2 linked regions of the Drosophila melanogaster genome follow. The gene in region 2 interacts genetically with the main gene of each other region. Each region holds a gene or a part of one and is shown on either strand. Other genes may lie near its edges.

The links. Genes that interact genetically often act in the same process or in processes that back each other up.
Region 1: of Hr38 (region 2) and Ask1, changing one suppresses a phenotype caused by changing the other (phenotypic suppression), as found in Drosophila melanogaster (one study listed by BioGRID).

Annotation. Positions count from the first base shown.
Region 1 is NT_033777.3:19,876,986-19,885,741, reverse strand, and holds the start of Ask1 (apoptotic signal-regulating kinase 1), read right to left. Parts: upstream 6,024-8,756; 5' UTR 5,819-6,023; coding exon 5,699-5,818; intron 5,627-5,698; coding exon 5,432-5,626; exon of another isoform or gene 4,860-5,431; coding exon 4,681-4,859; intron 4,259-4,680; coding exon 3,361-4,258; intron 3,305-3,360; coding exon 2,966-3,304; intron 2,900-2,965; coding exon 2,097-2,899; intron 2,034-2,096; coding exon 1,887-2,033; intron 1,547-1,886; coding exon 647-1,546; intron 587-646; coding exon 314-586; intron 249-313; coding exon 11-248; 3' UTR 1-10. Other genes in the region: Arc42 (Activator-recruited cofactor subunit 42), read right to left, coding at 6,492-7,465, 7,534-7,743, 7,831-7,864; CG17186 (uncharacterized protein), read left to right, coding at 8,325-8,400, 8,460-8,756.
Region 2 is NT_033779.5:20,710,893-20,717,433, forward strand, and holds the start of Hr38 (hormone receptor-like in 38), read right to left. Parts: upstream 3,697-6,541; 5' UTR 2,578-3,696; coding exon 2,145-2,577; intron 1,409-2,144; exon of another isoform or gene 310-1,408; intron 115-309; exon of another isoform or gene 1-114. UniProt on the Drosophila melanogaster protein: Binds to NGFI-B response elements. Plays an important role in late stages of epidermal metamorphosis.

The sequences.
Region 1 (8,756 bases), on a different chromosome or scaffold from region 2:
TCAACTCCAGTCACTCGCTGCACGAATCGTACTCGCTTTCGCTTTTCTTGATTTTCGTTTTGATGCCCGGCGTTCCGGGAGTTGTGGTTGTGGGTGATGGTAGCGTATTGTTGTTGTCAATAAGCGCAAAAGAGCTATTGCCTCCAATGGGTTTGTGGTAAGTGCTTGGTGGACTGTCCACACAATCGGACGAGGTGCACACACGTTCTTGTATAATGAGTTTCCACAAACGCACTTCGATGCCAACGCTGCAAAATACCAAAAGTTAGTTGAGCATGGATTAAGTGTACTTTTCTTATAAGCTTTAACGCACCGCAGACCCAGCCTCATGAGGTCCAGCTTTTCCATGTTATAGATAAAGTCGTCAAATGTAAAACCTTCATTCAGGATGAGCGTCTTTGAGAACTCGTCTATTTCCTGCTGGGTCAACCACTGCTCCAACTGCTCGTCTACTTCGTGAAGACCAAAGTGATGCTTGTTTAGCTGCCTCCGGGGATTGCCCGCTATATTCGGACGGACTCCGGACGTTCCGCCCACACTGGTACTCATTCTATGGCACTTTTTGTTAAAGCCGTTTATTGTGCGTCTGTTAAGATGAAATTGTGAATTATAATAAAATTTACAATGTCCTACTTGGTTTACCAACCTTAATCTCTTTCTGCCGCCCATGTAAATGTGAGCCAGCTCCTGACTGATATTATGCAGGGCCCTCATGCTCTGCCGCTGCTGCTCAAGGAGCTGGCGTTGCAGCTTCTGCTGATTGTCACGGATGTCTCTCAGGATGCGCGCGCACTCCATCGAACTGGACAGAGCATCCCCGCCCGATTCCGCAGGCGTTAATCCCACACCTTCGCGAGTGTTGCTCGTGGGAAGAACTTTTTCCAGGCTCTGCTTTTCCTGGCTCTCGGTGGAACCCTTCTGCATTAGACTTGTACGCAAGCTCTCATCATCATTTCCAGACAGGTCTTTGTCCGCCAGATTGGCGCCCAGTTCAGGAGAGAAAATAGTGACCGCCGCCTGGACGGCCCGCTTAACCAGATTATCCAATGCGAACATCCAATGGGGTTTGATGCAATGGTACCGCAGTACGCAGACCACGGCGTCCTGAAAGGAGTACAGCGCCAAATGAAGATGGTCCAGAGCAACTGCGTCGTTGTTCAGCTTTTGTTTCAGTTCGTTGATAGTCGCTTCCAAATGCTTTTCGTTTTCGTTCATAATGTAGTCCCGCAGTCCTCGGATTAGAACCTCCAAATCGCTTTTCCTAATCGCAATCGAGTTCTGATCAGCGTCGACCTTCTTCAGCCAAATATCGCAGATCTTGGATTCGTCTAGTGCCAGCACCTTGGAAAGCGTTGTCCGCCTCTGCGAATCCTTTTTAAGCCTGTAAAAACCGTCAGTCTCGCTCGTCTCACTAATGCTCGTACGCAAGGACGGCGTGGAAGGTTCAATCTCTGGCGAGAGCAAAAATCCATGGGAATTTCGCCGTTCAAGCATAAACTGGTTGCTGGGCAGCTCGTCAATGTCCACCGAGGATGAATGCGTTATGCTGAAATAGGAAACAGAAAGTACAATATAAAATTACGTTTATTTTACAATACATCAAGTGCTATCTCTTCTCAGTATCAAAATCCGAGTGCGCATTTTCCAATCATTAAATATGCACTTTACTGATAGCAACAATCAATGTGTTAACTACACGATAAGCAAAGGCACTTGTTACTCTTATAATAGTAGACGATATGGGAAAATATAGAGAAGCACGGAAAAATTTTTATATTCATTAAAATTAGCAAAATATAAATGATAATTTTCAACAGATAAGATAACCTCTGCTTGTAATTGAGGAAGGTCGAACATGATAAGAATAGTCGCAGCGTTTAACTTACTCCAATTCCGGCGTTGTGGGCGTATTGCAGGTTGTGTTGTAGCTCAGCGGCGGTGTGGTTTTGTGCACAAACCGATCAGCCGGCACCGAAATGCTGCGTCCGAACTCAGTATTGATGGGCAGGGCTGGGCGCACCTTGCGGGGTTTACTTATTGAGAAAATTAAAAGTGCAATTAGAAAGGAATTAGGCAAAACAATTAAGCAAACTCACTCTTGTAGGAAGGGATCTTCCAGAAGTTGCGAGGCGGAGGGTCGGTCCATCACGCTGATGGCAAAGCAACGCAAAATAAAGTTCTTTGCGTTGGCGGACAGCTCCTCGGGTATGTTCGGATGCTTCTTGTAAAAGCCCACCTTGAACATGGCCGCATGGGCGCTACCCAGCTCGATAAACGGTGGTTTGCCCGTAGCCATCTCAACGTTTGTGCATCCAAAGGACCAGATGTCAGCCGCCGGGCCATAGCCGCGTACTCCCTGGTCAATCACCTCCGGCGCCATGTACTGCAAGGTGCCCGTAAAGGTCTCCGTCATCGGGTTGATGCGGGCCAGCCGCTTGGAGGTGCCGAAATCGGAGATCTTAACCACGCCGCTATACGTGTTAACCAGCACGTTGTCACCCTTTATATCGCGATGAACAATGTCCTGCTCGTGAAGGTACTTCAGCCCCTCGAGGATCTGCTTGGAGTAGAAGGCCATGGTGGACTCGTTGTCCTTGAGCGGACCCCATTTGGTCTCTAAGAGGTCGGAAAGCGATCCTCCCGGCACCTGCTCCATGAAGATCTTGAAGAAGCCGTTCTCCGAGCACGATCCCAAATAGCGAACTATGTTGCGATGTCGCAGCTGAGAGTGTAACTTAATCTCCTCGTGCAGTGGCTGCACATCCTGCGAGTTCTTTTCCGGCACCTCCTTAATGGCGATTCGCACCTGCGTCTGCTTGTCCCTGGCGGCGTACACGGTGCCATAAGTACCTTTGCCCAGCACCATTTTGCGATTCTGCTCATCGTAGTCGTACTCGTACTACAATTAATAATAATTAGCAAAAGTGGCCGGAATATATGTATATATGAATAATAAATAACTTACCTCGATATTAGCGTCATCATTGCTGAGATTGACAAACACCACCTGATCTGCAGTCATCTCCAGGATCATATCGTAGAACTTTTGTCGTCGTTCAGTGGAGGGAAAATATATTTGAAAATCATCTGAGTTGTGATGGACGTACAAGTAGGCACAACGATCATCCCTCTTGTAAAGGCTGACGGACTTGATCTTCGATGCCACGAAAAGGAAGTCGTGGATTTTCTTACACGCATTCTTTGCGTGAGCCAAACAGATGTTCACAATCTGAATGGACTTCTCATCCGCATCCATGTTTATAGTCACATAACTGGGCATATAAATCTTCTGAGGCTCGAGGATCTGGAATTTGTTTTGAGTTAATAATAAAGCTTAAACTGCAGATCAGGGGTACCAACCAGAATCGGAAAGCGAATGCTGTTCTTAACCTCCTCGGTGTTGGTGGCCTCCAGAAAGAAGTCCATCCAGAACTGGAACACCTGCTCCTCGATGGGCGGCTGGCGTTCCTCGGGCTTCTTTCGAAATCGATGTATAAGAGAGATATTTCCGATGGTCGACTTCAGATACCAGTTGGGTGGCTTTAGCTTGAACATGCACTCGGCAGCTTGAATCGCCTTGGCGTAGTCGTTGGCCAAAACGGAGATCTCAAAGAAGGTGGCCACATCCCAATACTCACTCAGCGAGGATAGGCTGCCCTTTTTACCGATTAAATTGTTTAAGGTCATGCCGATGTGCTGCAACTCCTCCGTATTGGTAAACTCCTTGCCCTCGATAACCAGCAGAGTAGCCAGATTGATGCCTGCATACTCATTCGGCTGCACCTCAAAGCTTTGGCGGTACCACTTGATGGCGTGCGCCAAACTGGTGGCGTCCGTGTAGTCGGATTCCACAAAGATGTCCTTGTAGATGCGGCCGCACAGGCAGAGCATGTCCGGAAAGTGGTTCTCCTTCTTTTCCAGCGCCTTCAGCGAAGATTCCAGAGCCTTTTCACGGTCTCCCTTTCGATTTCTTCGGTTCAGGGCGAAGGCGTACAGGAAACTCATGTTGCCCGTCTCCACGTACTTCCGGGTGTTGGGTATGTTCTTCAGGTCATTGACCAGTCGCACCATGGCATCGTAGTCCTGCACATCCCTCAGCGAGCACATGAAACTGTGTACCACTTCGCCAGACAGGACATGCGGATCGTCCAGCCGCTTTCGCATCTCGTGCAATATACTCTGCAGCTTGGCGCCGTTGGTGGCGTACGTGTCCCGCGCCGTTCGCATGTCACTCAGAAATTTCTCACGCATGTGGGCTCTGTAAATAACCGAAAATAGCTTCGTTTAGTTTTTAGGTACACAAATAATGCATAATAGGAACAGTGTTTCGTGCTCTGGCTGAAAGACTAATTAACTTAGCATCTATCTGGTACACCAAATTTAAGATTTCAATTACTTTCATTTCATTACTTGTTAACCCGTAGTAGTATCACTAAAGTTCGAAGTAATTTAAATTGAAAGGACAATTATGATACTATAAAGAGACTTAAGAATTTTCAGCGATTATTGATATTTTATATGCAATTCCAAGGCCAACACAATAAATCGGTCTGATTCATTTTAGATGCAGGGCGTGACTTTTGCAGCCAATCTGCCGCAGGGGATGTTATAAATAGTGTTCCGATATGCAATCACCGTGCATGACTTACTGCAAAAGGGGACTCCCTAGATTGTACTCACTTCGACTGGATCTCAACATCTTGCAGCTTTCGCTTGAGGCGCCACTGCAAAGTGGGCACTCGTCCTTCGGCATTGGGTTCCTTGCTGTTGTTGCCGCTGTTGGGCTGGCTGGTCAGGTGGCAGGAATTGGTCTCCGCATTCCGCTTGTAGCTGAGAAACAGGTAGTTGGCACACGAGAGCTGCAAGGGGAGTAGAGTGTACCTAATTTAATGACCGCCACTGTGAATGCAGGCCACGCTGCGTTGGTGTACACCGTGCTGTTAGTGTGTGCGTGCCTCTTTGAGTGTTTGCGTGGGCGTGCTCGCATTTGTTATTGTTATTGCTGGGCCAATGCTTTTGTTGCTTTATGGCCGCAGCCAAAACAAAAATAACGAAAACGATTCGACGGAAATACAGTCGAACTTCCATAGTTCAAATTATTGGCTGCCATATGGGAAAGAGGTTTTAGTTATTAACCTCTGGAAAGAGGAAGTTTTTCGGTTTCTTTTGCAATTTGCTAAAGGAAGACTAGTAGATAGAATAATTTTTAGTCATTTTCCAGAAAGAGGTGTCTAAGCACCTAGGTTAGAGACTTGTTATAAACTCAGTTCGCGTTGTGGAAGCTCGACTGTAGAAAGATCAGCAAGAACAACTAGTCCAGGAGTCCACGCAGTTGCTGGTCATAGCATTTATCTTATCGGAAGCGGATTCCCGATCACGAACGCAGATGTTTGCCAGGCACGCCCGGCCAGGTAAACACTTCCGAACGCACCTTGAGACTGAGCGTCTGCTTGGAATCGATGTCGTTGTAGGTGAGGATGTTCTCCTTCATCCCGAAGCTCTCCCTAACGCCGTAGTGATAGGAAAGCGGCCGCTGCTGGGTGAGAATGCTCAGGTCGATAATGGCCACATCGGCGTTGTAAAACGTCTCCAGCACATTCGTCTCGCCGAAGTCCAGGCGCTCGAACTGCAAGGATGCCAAGTGGGGGGGATGTAAGTCAAATCACCCATATGCCATTGTATAACCAAGCTGGCGCACCTGAACCCGCTGAAAGTTGGCGCCCGCCGACTGCACTGCCTGCTTGATCTCCTCCAGCGCACACTGGCGGTCCTCCAGATGGTCGCCCACCGCCGTATCCATTACACACACCACATCCATCGCTGTTTCCATCGCAGCTATTCTTGGCACTTTTCTGCTCTTGGACGGATTTCGCGCACTTCACGCGATTTCTGCACTTTCTGGACGGCCGACACGCGCAGCTCAGTGGCAAAAACTCTCATTACCACGTTCCTGCTGCACTTGCATCGCGTTAATTACCGCGTAACGAATAATTATCAAATAAATAAAGAAACTTTTTGCTTTTGCTGTGTGACCGCTGCACAGCTACCAGCAATATACCGAATGAAGTCACAAAAATACCACACAAATATGCTAACCGACAAAGCCTTGCTGCAGTTTTGGCGCCAAGTTCCCATTTTTTTGAGTCATTTAAAATTTGGTTTAAAAGATATAATATAATTAGGCATATAAAATAATAAGCTTTGTTTATAAATATATTTTAAAAGCACTTAAGGTTCATTATTTTAATTAATTTACAAATATGCAACGTCTAAAAAGTAGTCAAGAGTTTCACTTATTTTACTTTACTTTTTGAACGAAGATTTATTGTTTTGCTAACTTTTTCTAAAGAATTAAAATGTTGTAGGTGTTTTTTTCATGTATTTCTATCTATTATAAACAATTATACAACTCAATAGAACTAGCAAAATAGTATATTAAAAACGTTCTTTATTAAACGAGACACAAGTAGTACGGATATATAACTTTGATCTTAACTAGCATATTCCTTTAGAATGGAGCCCGCGATCACCAGTCGCTGGATTTCGGAGGTGCCCTCGTAGATCTCAGTGATGCGGGCGTCCCTGTAATGACGCTCGGCCGCCATGTCGGTCACGTAGCCCATTCCGCCCAGGATCTGGATACACTGGTGGGAGCACAAGGTGGCCGCCTCCGAGGCAGCCAGCTTGGCCATTGCAGCTTCTTTGGTGTAGGGCTGCTTTTGGTCCTTCAGCCAGGCGGCGCGCCAGGTGAGCAGACGTGCCGACTCCATGGCCAACGACATGTCCGCGATCTTTTGCTGGATGGACTGGAGCTTGGCAATGGGCTTGCCGAAGGCCTGTCGCTTCTGGGCGTAGTCCACGGCCAATTCGAGGGCAGCCTGACCAATGCCCAGCGCCTGGCCAGCGATTCCTATGCGGCCGGCGTCCAGCGTCTGCATGGCAATCTTGAAACCGAAACCCGGCTCGCCCAGCATGTTCTCCTTGGGCACCACGCAGTCCTCGAAAATTAGCTGGCACGTCGAAGATCCCCGGATGCCCAGCTTATCCTCCTTTTTGCCCAGCGAGAAGCCCTTGGTAGCCTTGGGCACAATGAATGCGGAGATGCCCTTGTGCTTCAGCTGCTTGTTGGTGGTGGCGAACACAATGGCTGCCTCCGCCTCGAAGGCATTTGTGATCCAGGCCTTGGTGCCATTCAGCACGAAGTGATCTCCCTTGTCGGTTGCTATGGTGGAAGCAGCTCCAGCATCGGATCCGTTTCCAGGTTCAGAGAGCGCGAAGCAGCCCACTCGTTCGCCGGTGGTAAACGGTGTGATGTAGTCCTTCTTCTGGGCATCGTTTCCGAAAGAGAGAAGCGGTCCCAGATACAGGGAGTTGTTCACCGACATGATGACGCCAGCAGAGGCACAGCCCCTTGAGATTTCCTCCATGGCAATGGCGTAGGCCACATAATCCAGTCCAGTGCCGCCTGATTAACAATAAAGAGATACAATGAGATACTATAAGGAGGGCTGAGGTGGGCGTAATATTAATTACCCAGCTCCTCGGGAATCGCTACTGCCATCACGCCCAGTTCGCCCATCTGGCGGATCTGTTTCTCTGGATACAGGTGCTCCCGATCGAACTTGGCTGCGTTTCCACTGAGCTCATTGTTGGCAAAGTCCCGGCAGGACTTCTGCAGCATCTGGTGCGTCTCCGAAAGCGCCGACAATGAGGCAATTTGACGAGCATTTAAAGATCTGCGGGCTGAATATCAATATCTGGTTTAGGATCTTGCTTATAGAAAACATTTAAATGGCTGGGGCTCAAAGTCCACACATCAGTTTGTCTTACCAATGCATAACGAGCGGGTGAGTACTGATTGCATGTTTGTGTGGGATTGCCTCTTACTAATAATAATTAAATATATTGCATAAAAGACGGATAAAATGTTATAAAAAAAACTCTACTATTACAAAAAATTAAAAATGGACAGTGTGACCAGAGGAGGTCACCGGCTGCATCTGCATGTAACAAGTGGTTCATCACAGGGTGACTCTTGTCCCGAATTTAACAAGTCGTCTTGTTACTAATTTAAAATTAAAATTAAAAATTACTAACTTTTCACTCATACGAAAACACTGATGGGTACTTTTAAAATGAAATAAACATAATTCCTAAGGTGCACGGAAATAAGATCCAACATGCCGCCTGAAAAATACTAAATTCCCAAATTCGTAAATTCTCGCGTGCATTCTACATTTTCAAGCTAAATAATGTTGGTACCATCAAATAATTGTTGATTTGTTTAGTTATTATTAAAAGAACGCAGACCAAACGAGGGAAATATGTCGCAGACATGCCAGAGAACGGAAACACTGACGATAGAGGCTCTAGATTTCATCTACGAGGACGAAATGGAATGTGAGTACCAATGAATACCTAAATGCCGGCTGAACTACGATTGATTTCGCTTTTTACAGACTTGCACCTAAAACAAGCGCCCAGAAAGGAGGAGCAAGTCAAGGCGGTGAAGATAAAGCGACTGACTTGCAACATAAACGGCTGCACTTACTCCACGGACCGGAGAAGAGACTTGAGGCGCCACAGGCGGTCGCAAAAGCACATGCTGCTGGAGTCCTGCTCTGACTCCGAGTCTGAGGTGGAATCGTCACTGTTCTCGTGCAACGTCTGCGGCTACAAGACCGCCAAACGGTATTGCTTCGACCGGCACAAGGAGTCGAGGCGCCACATAATGAAGGAGCAGGAGGAGTGCGAGA
Region 2 (6,541 bases):
GTAAAAGCAACAGTGTTTTCACACGCCCCGCCGTGAGCATCGAACAAAAACACAACTAAAAACAAAATCGAAATGTGACTAGTCGTAGGAATAAGAAATACGCTGACTTGTGATAATACTGCAGGCATACAGCCAACTCATCCCCGAAATAAGACGTCATCAGCACGTGGCCAGCCATAAATATAATGAAAATAAAATCGAACCAATTATGAGATATATATATATATATATAAATAGATACACATTTAGGGATGCAGCTGACGCAAAGAGAGTGCAATCTTTTCACGGTTTCGTCATATATTTTCGTTTTCGGCGCGACGATGACGTTTTCAGCACTCGTGCCTCGGGAAAACACCCGTAATGTGAAAACTGTGTGCCGCCTAATCCGTTAAACTGGCCGATTTCATGGCCCCGCTGGCGTCATGGCTTAAATACTATATACCACAACTAGTGGATGCACCTCACCTGGTCATATGTTCTTCGGCGATTTGTTTTGCTCTGGTTTGTCATCCGATGTCGGGCACTTTTGGCGCCCATCGCCATTATGGTACTATATAGCCAACTTATAAATATAGATGTTTGTTTTGCCACGTCTAATAGTCAACTGAGTCTAGTGCATTTCGCCCTGCATTTTCACTTCTGCAATCGATTGGCAACCCTCGGTTTAGTGTTTAACTGCATTTCACCATAGAAACTAATTTTCTACTTGGGTAGTTGTTTCAAAAAACCTATCCGAAGACTATCGAAAGGATACCTATCCATATGTAGCGCATGATAATCATTCTGTAATATTGACAATTAAATCAATTTAGAATGTGCATATAGTAGATTCCTGTGAATTGAAGGCTCACATGGCCCACTTGCAGTTGAAAACGCTAACCGCAGAGTGCTTAAAAGCTGATTGCTGGGAAACACTTAATGGGCGCTAAGTTAGCCGCAAAATACAGTCGCTTAAGAAGCGGCTAACAAGTGGCTAACCGACTTTGCCGCAGCGAATGAATTGGCAAAGCCTTTCAAGCCGTTTAGTAAGCCCAATAATCGGATGCCCCACCGCCGGGCGCCCTAACACCACCCACCGAACCAACCACCCACTCGGCAATGAAATGATCGATCTATCTTTCCCATGCTTGAGCTTCAATCGGCGATGTTTTTTTTATGCGGTTATTAATAAAAATGCATTGGCCATCCCTAGCCGTCGATAGTGAGTATCTGTGTGGAAATCGGACGCACTGCATCTGTGTGCGGTGTTTATTGTGCAGCTTGTAAATCATTTTGCGTCAGGCTGCGTCCGCTGCCGTCTGCTGAAACTGCGGCGCTTTGCTGACGCTGGTAAACATGTGTACGACACCAAAAACAGCAGCACATGCTCACCGAGAGCCAAGACGGGTCTGCACACACAACTAAGGTCAAAGTGGTGGTAATTGATTTAAGCCCGTCTTTACAGTTCGGTATAGTTGCCTCAATTAATTTTATGCAAATGCACTAAATTTCATAGCATACAATTTTTAATGCAAATGATAGCTTGAAACTAATTCTGATGTAACTATACAATTAATTTTATTAATGCACTAAATTTCATAGCATACAATTTTTAATGCAAATGATAGCTTGAAACTAATTCTGATGTGCTTAAAAAAAAACTATACCGAACATTTTTAGAGCTGCCTTTAATAGTACTCCAAATGCTTAAACTTTTTAATTGTTAAATCATTTTTGAATCATAATCCAAGAATTTTTAAAGTTCTCTGCCTCATTTTCTTGACCTCTACTGTGGTTGCTCTCGTATTTTGCGAATGGAAGCTTAATATTTTCACCATTTTTATGATGCATTTTGAGCAGTTTTCATGCAAATTTATGTCGTCATTGTGCGTTGTCCAACCTACCCCCACCAGCCACGCCCCCTTTTTTATTCAAGTTGCATTTTTCAGATTTTTTCCCGACCTGCCTTCTCAAACGGATTGAGCAAACAGTTAGCTTCTTGGCCGATTTGGCAATGCGCGCTGCACATTGCGTATACGCCGCGTGTGCTATTAGCGAATTAGAAGAAAACACCACAGCGGCGTTTGAGTTTGGAAAATACAAAAAAACAAAAAACGAAAAAGTCACCAACACCGATAAGCCGAAAGGGAAAACCAAATACATACATGTGTTTCCATTGGCAAAAAAGTGGCTGTTGCCGGGTGAGCTGGAGGTGGAGTTCGAGTCTGAGTTGCAGTTGGAGTTGGAGTTGGAGGAACTGCAGCAGGCCAGGTGATTGATATCGCAACCGTCGGGAAAGAGGTTGCGGCAGGGGTAAATCAAAGGCAGAGTCGGCAGAGGCGGCGGCAAGAGGGGATGTTGCTGGTGTGTTTGGTGCTGCTGTGCGTGTTGCAGGTGTGATGTGTGTGACTGCTGGTGTGTCGGGGCATTGAGGTTCTGTCTGTAGCAGGAGTTGTTGTTGATCTCCTGGAACAAACTGCTCTCGGTGTACAGTGAGGCCTCGCACTTAATGGCCGTTGCCTGGTGGTGGCTAATGCTCGTGTTGCTGCCGCCCTCTTGCTTCACCACAATCAGCGAGGCAAGCCGATCGCGCATCATAGACCACGATTCTCCGTTAAAGAACCCAAAATTAACAATGATGTTGATGGTGATGATGGGACACAAACATAAAACGCACACAGGACGGGACAACACAGATCACACACTATATGGTTTCTAAATAGGCACCTGTTTGGCGCCCCGAGCGGCGCTGGTGATCCAGCACGACTGTTCCGAGTTGGGCTGGGATTTTGCCTCAATTTTCTTGGCTGCGGCAGGAGTGGCCGAAGCTTTTGTCGCAGTAGCTCTGATTGCAGTAGTTATTATCGGGCTTCATTTTTCTGTCCTTGCCCGGCTGTTGTTTTTGTTGTGTGTCCTTAGACTTGAACTTGCCTCCTTTTTTTTTTGGCTTTTTTCTTGTTGCCTTTCCTTTTTTCCGGCGTTTGCGCAGTGGCCAAGTGACGATGTAAGCGACGTAACGACTTACGCACGCTATACTATATCAACTGGGGTCTCTATATACATATACATATATATTCGGTTGTGGTAGTTGCAGTAGTGGGAGGCACAAGGACGTTGCTTACACTTTACACACTGATACACACACGCGCGCAATGGGCAACACAAAAACAATTACTACTGTTCTTCAGCTCACGTGCTCGTTAAAATGTTAGCAAAACTTTCAGTTCAAAAATATCTGTGTCTTGTCTCTCAGAAATGAAACGAAATTTGAATTACTATAGATTAATTTACTGCACATTCGCAGCGGGGTAAGATAGATTAAACAAACATACGCAGCGTTGCCCACCGAAATATATGCATTGTTCGCTTAAGAAAGGTAAAGGTGAAGTATACGCCGCGTTGTCAACCGTTGGAAGTTATTACGCATACGCCGCGCTGTCGACCGGCTTCCGTTTCCGCATAGAACGAATGCACGAATCGATAAAGAACAACAACTTGTTGCAATTGTTTAACTCTTGAGCACTCACACCTATGTTGGCTTTGTGTTTCGTTAATACTGAACGCGATGTTTATATAGTTGTGTGGATTAAAGTCTTAGTTGGCTGACTTAAGATCGGAAATTCAGAACCATCGAGCTCGCCTCGATATAAGTTCTATATTTTGTATTGGCTTTTCCGTGAGCGGTGGCTGTTTGGGCTAAAGTTGTTAACAATGCGGCGTCTGTGACGCGACTGAACTTATCTTTACGGTTACACGCGACTATATTCAACGCGTCGCGTCGACAGCGCTGCCTCAGCTGGCGCCGTGCTGCGCTCGCGAGAGCGAGTGAGAGCGAGAGTGAGTGTGCGATGGAGAGGGAGGGGCGACGGCAAGCGAGCGGGACACGACCTACCTTTGCGGCCCGGCTATTACGTCATTTGGGGCCAACAACTGAGCGCAGCTCGTGCGAGGAAAATCGATGACGTCGTTGGCAGAGCGCCTGCGCCGGAAAATCCCCTCCACCCATTTTCAGCGACCGATTTTCCGAATGCAGTCCAGTGGGACAGTTCGGAAGCGGAAATTATGTGCGTCATAAAACCGACGTTGGCCATCCCTTTTGCTCGCATCTGAGATTGATTGGGGCTCTTGGTGCCGTTTCACCTGCTCCGGCTTACCACTCCGCCACCCACTTTTCCGCTTTTCCAACCGCCCACTGGGTATCCACTTCTCGCCTGCTGCCAAAACTTCCGTTTCTCTCAGTTATCGTACACAGGAAACATGTTTATTAATTTCAGGATATATAAGGACGTACAATTTGTAGGAATATTCCCTTATGCACATTGTACATCATCTACACACTTGTCTTTAAATATCAATCTCTTTTCCATGTGTAGACTGTACTCTAATGCATTTATAAAAAGCATGTTTTTAATGTTGTTTGTTTTTTTATTGTTTGTCTTAAACTACATATTCTTCTCAGTGTACTAAGTCTGTGTGGGCATTCTGTGGTGTCGTTTTGGTGGAAAGGACTTCCTTGCTCTCGTGTGTGTGGGTGTATTCAAAGCAAAGGAAAATGGACCAGATTTCGAGGAATATGTTTATGTGAGTCAATCCCATGATGGTGAGCGTGGGTGGAAAAGTAAAGCTATCATGTTAAATAGGAAGATAGAAATTTCGAAAAGAATAACAAGTATCATATGGCAAGAATTCAATATTCTATTTATAGTGATTTACTACTTTTGAATTTGGTTTATATTTATGCTATATAATATAATTTATAATTATGCTATAAATATTTCAAATTGAAATTGATATGCAAAACGGACTTTTAGCCTAGAAATGAGTCTGGTTTTCCTTTCAACTTAAATCACGATTTTATATTTATCTCAGTTACCCGCTTTTATTCCCTATTTCACTCCAAGTGCTAAGACAAATCGATTTCACACAAGATCCCAGGCCAATTTCGCTTTTCCACTTAACAAAATACCATCCTGCCACTTCATAAACCAGATCACTCTTTCCTCATCCCCAAATATAAATAAGCTGCGCCACAAATCATTTGGCCGATATAACTGGCAATAACACGATCCGAGCGATTTTCCCGCCCCGCGAGCCGTCGGAAAAGCGGGAATATTAATGCACTTTACCATTGACACCGGCGTTTGCAGCTCGTAAACAACAACGAGGAAAACAATAATAACGCAAAGCCAGTACAAATCTTCTCTCCCAAGATCGGCGACACACGACTAGAGAACGGTAAACCCGAAGACGCGGCGTCGACCGCGCTGCCAGCGTCGACTGCACAGAGAGTGAGAGTCTTGGCGCTCGGCACCCGAACCCAAATCCAAATCTTCGGGATCCGCAGACTCGTCTTTGCGGCGGCGACGTCTTCTGGCGTTTAAGGTTTCGTTTTCATTCGGCTTGTCGGCTTGTCGGCATGTCGGCCGCTCGTGTGCTGGACTGCATTCGCTGTGGCTATTTTTAGACAGGTTCCAAGCCACGTTTTCTAACTGTTGTTAGCGTACGAACCGGAGATCGCGGGCTGTGCACTTGGGCCTCTCCATGTGGAAGCCGCAGACAAAACGTGAGATCGCTGAGTCGGCCGGCCGACTGCTGCGTCGACCGCGACAGAGCCGAGCGACTTGGCTTTCTGGGCGCAGTGGCTCTTCCTTTCGTTTTCGGCTACATTTTTTCCCATAATGCTTTTGCCCGGGTCTCGCGGCTCTGGGTCCGGCTCACACTGCGGCCCATTGTGGCTCCGGGGTGCGGTGTGCTGTAATGTGCCGCTCTGTGGTGTGGCTTCCCATGTACATATATATTATTGTAGTTGGATTTGGGAGCGACGCAAGTGGAACTGGTCTGTGGCAGGCACCATGTGCATTCAGCACAGTGGCTGTGGATCACTCGTAAAAGGATGATGCCTCTCCATGGCTATTAAAGAAGTAGTTTCTAGGATAATGTGGTACTACCACTAGAGGTAATGAGTAGTGTTCCTAGTTATTACTCCGTTTATTCCCGATCTTTATCTATTTTTGTTATAATCTATATCTATAATCTTAAAAGCAGCTTTAGTGGCATTTCTATATTCATTTCATTGTAATATGAGAAATGGAAATATCCACGTTACTCATTAGTGGATGTTAATGGTCAGAGTTTTAGTAGTTCCATGGCGTATTAAGCTTTCTAGAAACCGCCTCCAAATCATATGGACTCTAAGCCACTGTTTCGGCCAGCTTTCTTGCTGTTGTCGATGGTGCTGTCGCTGTTCCTTTGGCGATTATGGTGGTGGCAGAGGTGGAGGTGGTGGTGGTGGTTCCAGTGGTGCTAGTGGGGCTAGTGGTGCTGCTGCTGTTGGCTGACCTGCTGGTGGCCCCAAAAAGTGCATGCAAACAGCTTAGCGTTGGAGTCTCCTAGTTGTTGCTGCTATCGCCGATATTGTTGCTGTGCCTTGGTTGTTGTTCTTGGGCTGCTTCCAAAGCGATTCGATTGCCATTGTTGCTGTTGTTGTCTCTGGCGGTTTTATTGGCTGTATTAAGCATGACATGCCAAGCCAAGCCAAGCCAAAGTCGCAGTCTCCGTCGAA